2 linked regions of the Coturnix japonica genome follow. The protein of the gene in region 1 binds, or shares a complex with, the protein of each later gene. Links are inferred from orthologs where the notes say so. Each region holds a gene or a part of one and is shown on either strand. Other genes may lie near its edges.

Region 1 (3,510 bases):
ACTCCAAGAAATAGCTTTGAATTCTATAATGCCAAACCCACTAGCTAAGATCTGTGGCAATGTCAGCAGTAGGAGCACTTAGTAAACCAAATCAGCACTTACCGTTGGATTTAAGGTAATATGTGGAGCCAAACCTCCTAACGAATACACATTGATGTCATGATAACTGTACTGGGGCTGTGGAGGAACTGTGGCTGTACAAGTGGTGCTGGTAGCTGGAGTTGTAGAAGCAGCTGTAAGAATATAAAAATGCTTATTTTAACCATTAGGGAAAAGTGAGTGATTAAAATGGAAGCACGCACATCATTTAAGTGATGAGTTCTGACCATAATGCTTCCTTACAGGTACCCAGCTTTTTTCCCCCCACCTCCACAGTGTCTAGCACCAGGTTAACTTCAGGGCATTTTGGCAGCTGTTTGTTACAGCAGGGTTTGAACCCTGCTACAATCTCAATCTGTCTCCCAGCTTCACTCTCTTCTAAAGAGCAGTTACACACAGCACATGCAGAATTAGTCCGTGGGATGGCTTCCATTCCTCTCCCATCTCCTAATCCTGTTAACATCCTTCTATTACACCACTACTTTAGTGATTCTAAGCTTTCAGTAATGTTACAGCAGTGCAGATAGCTTCAAATTCTTCTCTACAAGCCTGTCTTTCTAAACTTCATACAGCACTGTTCTGAGTTTGATTTGAGGCATACTTACTGGTGGTTGTGATGGGTGGCAGCTCTTCTGGCTGCTTCACATCTTTCTTAGGAGCAGACAGCTGCTCATCCAGATTTTTCAGACGATCCTTATCTTTCAGGAGGCTCCCAGGTTTCAGCTCATTGATGTCCAGTGCAAGATTCTTGCAGAGCACTTCGATCTCAAACTTCAGATTCAACTGCACAACAATTTTAGTTTAGGTTATGTCACAAGGAAAAAAACCCAAACTGGCTGTTCTAAACCCAAGCTTCATGTTCTAACTCATGTTGTCTTTTCTTTTGCATAAGCAAGTGATGGTTAGACAAACAACCTGCACATTAACCTCACAGAAATCAAGACTCACCCACGCTCTTACTAAGTTAGCAATGCCCAGTTCCTCACACAATGAAGTGAGAAGTGAAATTTGGTCCCTCACAACATGTTTCTGACTGGTATTGTCAAGAAAACCTCAAGCTCAATAGGTACAGCAAAACAGAAAATTTACTTTTAGATCATGTTCTTGATGCAGCTCAGCTAAAACATTCATAATAGCCATTGTCCATGGGTTTGGAGGCCTGAAAACCTGCAAGAGAAAATGCAAAGCAGCATTACACAGTGGTCTGGAATGGTTTAGTTCCCTTAAGACTAATACATTTTGAAACTGAACCATTACATGCACATACAGACAGGGGAAACTGAAGTTTACACAGCTGCAGGCAAAGCTGCTTTTAGTATTGAGAGAAAGCAGATGAACAAGCAAGCTGAACGCCAAACTGGAAGCACAATTACTAGACCCTTCTGAGAGATCAGTTGCTTAGCCAAGCAGAGTTAAAGAGAGCTCATCAGAGACAAAACACGCATGTTGAGGGTGGAAGGAAATAAATCCACCCAAATAAGAAATAGATCCTAGAACCCCTCCAGTGGCATCCTTTTGTTTCTCAACAGAGGTCTGTGTCTGGGGATACTACAGTACAGTTCAGCCAACATCATCTGTTTAGGATGGACCCCCCCCCCCCAAAAAAAAAAAACAGAACAAAAAACCCAACCAGACAAGTACTTTATCTCAAAATGGAACTAACTTGAAGCCGTGATATCCCTTTACACCCCCCACTACACATGAAGTTCATTGGGTTTAATGAGAAGCACTACTTAATTTCTGCAATGCTTGTGTTGCCACTTGAGCAGTAACAGCCCCAATGTAGTCACTTACCACACTCCTGACACTGGATTCTAAGACTTTGGCAACAAATGGTACTACATAAAGCAATTCCTGCTGTCCCTTAACGTACGCTTCCAGTAGTAGTGACTTCACATCCAAATCCTGAAAAACACCATCAACAATTAAAAAGGGTAGGAAAGCAGAAAGAAAAAAACAAGACCACTGCAGAAATTCCATTGACATGTTATTTTCTTATAGGATATAATGGCAAAACAGAGTTTTACGGAATGCTAAAGAGTGATCTTGCATTTGAACAAAGATTCACAGATGGATATTTTGACGTAATATTACCCCCTTCATTTTGGTGATAGCATTTCCAAAACAGCCTATGCTGCTGAATAATACCACAGTAGTTTGCGTCAAGCAAGTCTGTGAAGACAGAAGCTTACTGTGTGCAAGATGGGCTTATTTTTAGCCAGTGTAATCATTCCCAGCCAGTGACCAAGGTTCTTCAACAAGGAACGGTCAGAGAAGTTGGCTGCAGCCTTATCTGATGTCAGTAGCACCTAATGGAAAAAAACAACTCAAGCAACAACTGGAAGATAAATCAGACACAACACCAAATCAAACAGCTGCTCTGACCTGAAGCAGAACACCAAGTTCTGAGCTCCAGTCCCATTACAGAGATAGTCAAGAGCAGCCTTTACCCTCAAGGTAGCATCCCACCAATCTGCCTTGTAATGACTTCAAAATTCCTTTACTTGGAGGGGATCAGAAAGGATTACGCCTTCCCAGAGCTTTCCAGTTACTGATAAGGCAGCTAGGCTACCCAGCAAAATGTAACTTGGGAAGACAATGCTTCTTAACACTTCATTGCAGACCAGAAGGCATTTCCTGGGAAACGATTTAATTCTTACTTCAAGACCTAAAACATGCTCTAGCATTCTACTATTAGCTTTGTCCCTTGGCTTCAGAGCAGCATCAGCCAAACAGAAGGCCAACCACACTCTAAAGAGCCAGGAGATTCTTTTGCACTACAGCGTAACCCACGGTGGCCAAGAAAATCCACCAACAGGTTTAAAAATAGTGCTTCCTTGACAGATTTGATTCACTCACTCACCTCATCAGGGCTATTTCTTCTTGACCTCTTCAGCATGCACGTTAATTTAGTCCTCTAATGATTTTTAGTTGTTACACTTCTGTTTACTCTAGCTCCCTATCCTCTATTTTTCAGCTAAAACAGCAGAGTGTGGTTCTCATCCTGATACTCTCCCACACAAACTAGACCACAAAGAAATTTTCCCTGCCGCAATTTGCAGGCCTCATACAAATATGGACTTAAATGCAGATATACCCTCTTAATCCTTTCTGACTGAAAACAAAACAATCCCAGTATTCATACAGTAAGATGTTAGCTTAAGCTGAAGTAGACTTTCCCAAGATACTCCATTTCTGAAGATAAGCAGCACAGGAAGAAAATGGCCTGAGAACAGCATACCTCTAAATGCTAAAACTTACCCAAGTATTAGAACTTGTGCACTCACCTTGATATTTCTGTAAGTCTCATTCAGAACCATTTTATTAAATTCTGGATTCTTAAGAGTGTCGAGGAAGTTTGAATATAAGCTGTGAAAATTTGGCTCAATACTGACTCTCTTCATCACGAGA
Region 2 (4,283 bases), on another chromosome or scaffold:
CCTGGCCATGTAGTTTTAATGTATATAATAAGTAACAAAGCTACTTCACAAAACACTTCAGTCTCAGAAGAAAACAAGCACATCTGGGCAATTAAAACAATGGGAAATCCTCTGATTAATCCTTCTACAAAACAACAGAAGACGAGCACTGAGAGCCTGATTTTGTGGTTGCTTTTCTCTCACAGTTAAATCCCACTTTATCATCCCGACAAAAAACAAAATGCCTTTTTTATTCACCAGGAGTTCTCTTACAGACCTAATCAAGTTGTCAGGAGAAATACTATTATCCTCACCACGTGAAATTAATCTATCAGGAATTTATCTACTGTATTGAGTGTGTATATGACACTCATTTGGATCAGCTCGTATATACGTCTTCTGCTTGGTAACCCTTCACGCAATAAAACAGCCTTCAGAACTCAATCTGTGGATGTCCTACAGCCTTTGGCACAGCTGCTCTGTGTTGGAGCTTAGCAGGAGCCCTCGCTGGATTTAATCAGGCAGGCAGAGCTCAGAAATTCAGCCGGAATCCTTGCTGCTATTAGAAATATGCACTGTCATTTGCTAATTCAGGCTCAGAACCAATTGAGAAACTCAGAGCCATAAATCCTCGTGTGAACGTTGAGTCCTCTGCAGCATATCCTGGAGCAGTCATTTTTGGAGAGGCAGAATACACAGAAGAATGTAGAGCGTCTAGCCAAAGTGTTATATGAAATACTCTTCTCAATGAAGCCAAAGACTTTTCCAAAACTGAAAACTTCTGCTTTTTCTGCCTCTGACGGCCACAACCTCACACAGGAGCAGCAAAGTGCTGCACATCCATCCCTACCCTGGCACTACAAGAGGTGAGAAGCAGCCCTGACAGCAAGCAGCAGCAGCAGCCCACACTGTGCCAGCTCTGCAGCTGATCCATGAGGGACACACAGCCCTCAATGGGGGATGAGGCTGGGTGGGCTCTGAGGTCCTTCTAACCCAACTTATGCTGTAGTTCTACAGCAGGGAGAGGACTGACAGCACCCACTGCCTGACTGGATGCCACGTACCAACACAGCGCATCAGCAACGCCGATGCTGATCCAAACCAGCAGCTTTTTGGGTGCTAAAATAGTTCTTTTGGTACTAGCAACGTCTTTTTGGACACAACCAATGGCTTTTTAGGTACTACCAATACTTCTCGTGGGTACCAATGATGCCTTTTAGGGATACTGGTAGTTTTTGGGGTACCGACAGGGGATACCAATGACAGCTCTCAGTACAAAGGATGCTGTGGGGGTACTAACAAGAGCTTGTTGGACAACGACCCCCCACCCAACGACCCCCGGGACACCCCACGCACACCTCCCCGCCCCTTCCCTGTTCCCACCCCTCCCACCTCCCACTCGCCAATGAACGGGAGGGGTCTCTGGTCGCCGGCGAATGAGAGAGAAGTGGGCACCCCCCCTTTCCATCCCCCGCCCCTATTTAAAGTGCGTGGCGCAGCCGCGCGCTCCCGAAGGCAGCGGGGGCAAATAGCGGCGGGGCCGCTTTGGGGGCGCGGGCGGGCGCTCCCGGACGGCGCCCCCCATGGAGGCTTTTCCCGGTGGAAAGCTGGAGCCGCACCGGCACCTCCCGGCCGTAGAGCGCCTGCAGGGTGCCCGCTACGGCGGCCGGAGCCACAGCGCCTGCGGGAACGTCTTCAACTCGTGGAACGATTACCTGGGGCTGGCCACGCTCATCACTAAAGCCGTGCGTCCCGGGAAGGGCTTCGTTGCCGAACCGCCCGCCGTGGTGGTGGCGGCGGCCGAAGAGGAGGAGGAGGAAGAAGAGGAGGAGGAGGAAGAAGCGGCGGGGCCGTACTTCGAGGGCGCGCTGGACTTGCACGAGCTGGAGCTGTGCGGGCACCATCACCACCACGGCGACGGGCTGCTGGAGGAGCGATTCGCCGATTTCAGCCCCTTCCCCGGGCGCGGCGGCCCCGCAGCGGTGCTGTTCGACTGCTCGGGGGAGCACGGGGGCCGGGACGGCTCGGGCCACGCGTGGGGCGCGGGCGTGGTGGTGGCGGGTCGGCTGCCCGCACACCCTCGAGCCGCGGGGCGCCTGCTGAAACCCGAGCTGCAGGTGTGTGTGTTCTGCAGGAACAACAAGGAGGCGGTGGCTCTGTACACCACGCACATCCTGAAGGGACCCGACGGCCGCGTGCTGTGCCCCATCCTGCGGCGCTACGTGTGTCCGCAGTGCGGCGCCACGCGGGACAACGCGCACACCAGGAGGTTCTGCCCGCTGTCCAAAATGCAGGCGGCCAAACAGCTCCGGCACGCCCGGACCGCGCTGGGCAAGAAGGTCCGCTAGGAGCGGGGGGCTCGGGGACTGGCGGGCGGCTTCGGCGCGGCGGGGACGCCCTGTACGTGTTTCTTGTAAGAAATATAGAGATACGTGGTTTTTAAGGAAACGCCGTTCGCCGCCAGTTCCGACACCGGGCGGTGTGTCTCCCTGCTGCCCCCCGCGCTGCCCGCACGGCTTGGGGAGCGGCCGCCCGCTGCACGGAGGGGAACGAAGGGCTCAAAGCCGATCCAGCGTCCCAATTGGAACCGATGGGGTTTTTGGCTCGGTGGTCGGCAGCAATTCGGTTGAAAGGCTGCACCCGGGGAGGGGCAGGAACGGGACGGTGCCGCCCGGCTCAATGTGCGGCTCTAAGGATGGGGGGGAGGGAGCGGAGGGGGCTGCGCGGTGACTGGGGGACACACGGAGCGGCCCCTGGTGTGACTGTGGGCTTCTGAGGAGACCCAGAGCGAGGAACTGCCCAAAGGAAGGTGATGCGTTTGTAAGGCTAAAGAGTGTGGCTTTAAGTGGGTGGGGGCACGGGGGAAGCACCCGTGTGGTTACCGAGTAGCTTTCATGTATACCGAACACGGGACGCAGCCACGGGACTGCGTCGCTCTCAGAGAGGTGGGGAATTTGCTTTCATTGCAACTTAAAGCAGGAGAAGGAGCAGCAGCAGCAGATCTGTGGGTCTCTCCGGGGTCCTCTGGAGCCAAGAGGGCAGTGCAGAAGGCTCTGGCTGTACCCAGGTTCGCCTGGAGGGTGAGAAAGGCACCGCGTCCTGATGGGAAGGGGAGATGGACAAGTGAGAAGTGACGGATTTAATGTGAGTTCCTCCTGAGGAGCTGCTCTGTGGGGTGGGACAGTGAAGCAAGTAAGTGGGACGGGCAGGAGTGGAGTCAGGATGGGCTGGAAGGAGCCTGGGGGTCGCTATTCACAACTGCTGTTGGTTCCCTCAGCTGAGAACAGGGTTGTGAATGGAAGTGCTCTCTTCAGGCTTCATCACATTGCTCCAGCGATGGCATTAGGTCTAATTAGCAAATGCAAATAGACTTGCATTAAATACCACCTCGCTGTGGCTGCAGCTGGCTGTATGGAGCTGCCTGTTGGCTGTGCCAGCTGTGTGCTGTCTCTCCTTCCATGTGATTTGCCCTGCAGGTTCTCAGCTGGTAGAATTCAGGCATTGGATTTTGTGATGTCTGTCTTCACCGCAGATTGGGATTGAGCTCCAGTGTAACGCTGTGGAACAAATTCAGTCTCTTTGTTAGCTTCTTGATGAGCATATGTGTTTCAATTCGGGTGACTGTTTATGGACACAAAAGCAAGAAAGATGTAAGGAAGGTTCTCAGCTGCTTTGAGGGGACATTCCGAGGGCTGCCATACACCCACCTCCCCTGGTCTGTAGATTAAGTTACCCCATAGCAACTGCCCCACTGCACCGCCTGGGAGCTTGTCAAGATAGCAGAATGTCTCCTTGCCATGGATGCCAGCCCTGTCTGTGCCCTCCACATGGGTGAGAAGAAAGCTGCTCCTGTGATGGTGGCTCCTGCTGTGTGTGCTGAGTCCTCCAGCTGTCCGTGTGTACCTGCACTGCGTGGCATCAGGCCTGGGAGTCGGGCCCCAGCAGGTAAGGCAGCAGCAGTGGCTGGAGAGAGCAGCTGTGTGTGGGGTGGGAGGGGAATCGGCCTACTTCAAACTGAGCTCCCAGAGCCATTTCCTGCACACCAGCACACTCTGCAGCACCGAGCAGGCAGACACACCTGCCTTGTGGTCACAAGTCTGTTATGGTAGATGCTGCTTACACACACACTGAAACAGCTTATGGTAGTAACCTAAACTCCTAGGAACAGCGTGTGCCTTCATCTGCCAGCAGCCCATGTTGGAAGCTATTGCATGCTCCACAGGTGTCTTGTTCAGCCTGATGCTATTGTTATTTATTCTGCACACAGCTGCAGATCTTTAGATCTGGCTACTGGTTTGAACCAA

Evidence for each region.
Region 2: the proteins of CNOT1 (region 1) and NANOS1 are in contact, whole or in part, in a crystal structure (PDB 4CQO), measured with the Homo sapiens proteins. The link is inferred for Coturnix japonica from reciprocal best matches to the Homo sapiens genes CNOT1 and NANOS1. Residues at the interface, in NP_057368.3 of Homo sapiens: Ile2327, Ile2330, Lys2331, Trp2338, Glu2350, Phe2353, Gln2354, Val2356, Ala2357, Met2361; in NP_955631.1 of Homo sapiens: Phe40, Ser41, Ser42, Trp43, Tyr46, Leu47, Leu49, Thr51.

Annotation. Positions count from the first base shown.
Region 1 is NC_029526.1:1,180,146-1,183,655, reverse strand, and holds part of CNOT1 (CCR4-NOT transcription complex subunit 1), read right to left. Parts: coding exon 3,387-3,510; intron 2,934-3,386; exon of another isoform or gene 2,798-2,933; intron 2,409-2,797; coding exon 2,292-2,408; intron 2,005-2,291; coding exon 1,894-2,004; intron 1,267-1,893; coding exon 1,189-1,266; intron 883-1,188; coding exon 705-882; intron 234-704; coding exon 103-233; intron 1-102.
Region 2 is NC_029521.1:26,722,667-26,726,949, forward strand, and holds the start of NANOS1 (nanos homolog 1), read left to right. Parts: upstream 1-1,473; 5' UTR 1,474-1,562; coding exon 1,563-2,327; 3' UTR 2,328-3,924; intron 3,925-4,283. UniProt on the Homo sapiens protein: May act as a translational repressor which regulates translation of specific mRNAs by forming a complex with PUM2 that associates with the 3'-UTR of mRNA targets. Capable of interfering with the proadhesive and anti-invasive functions of E-cadherin.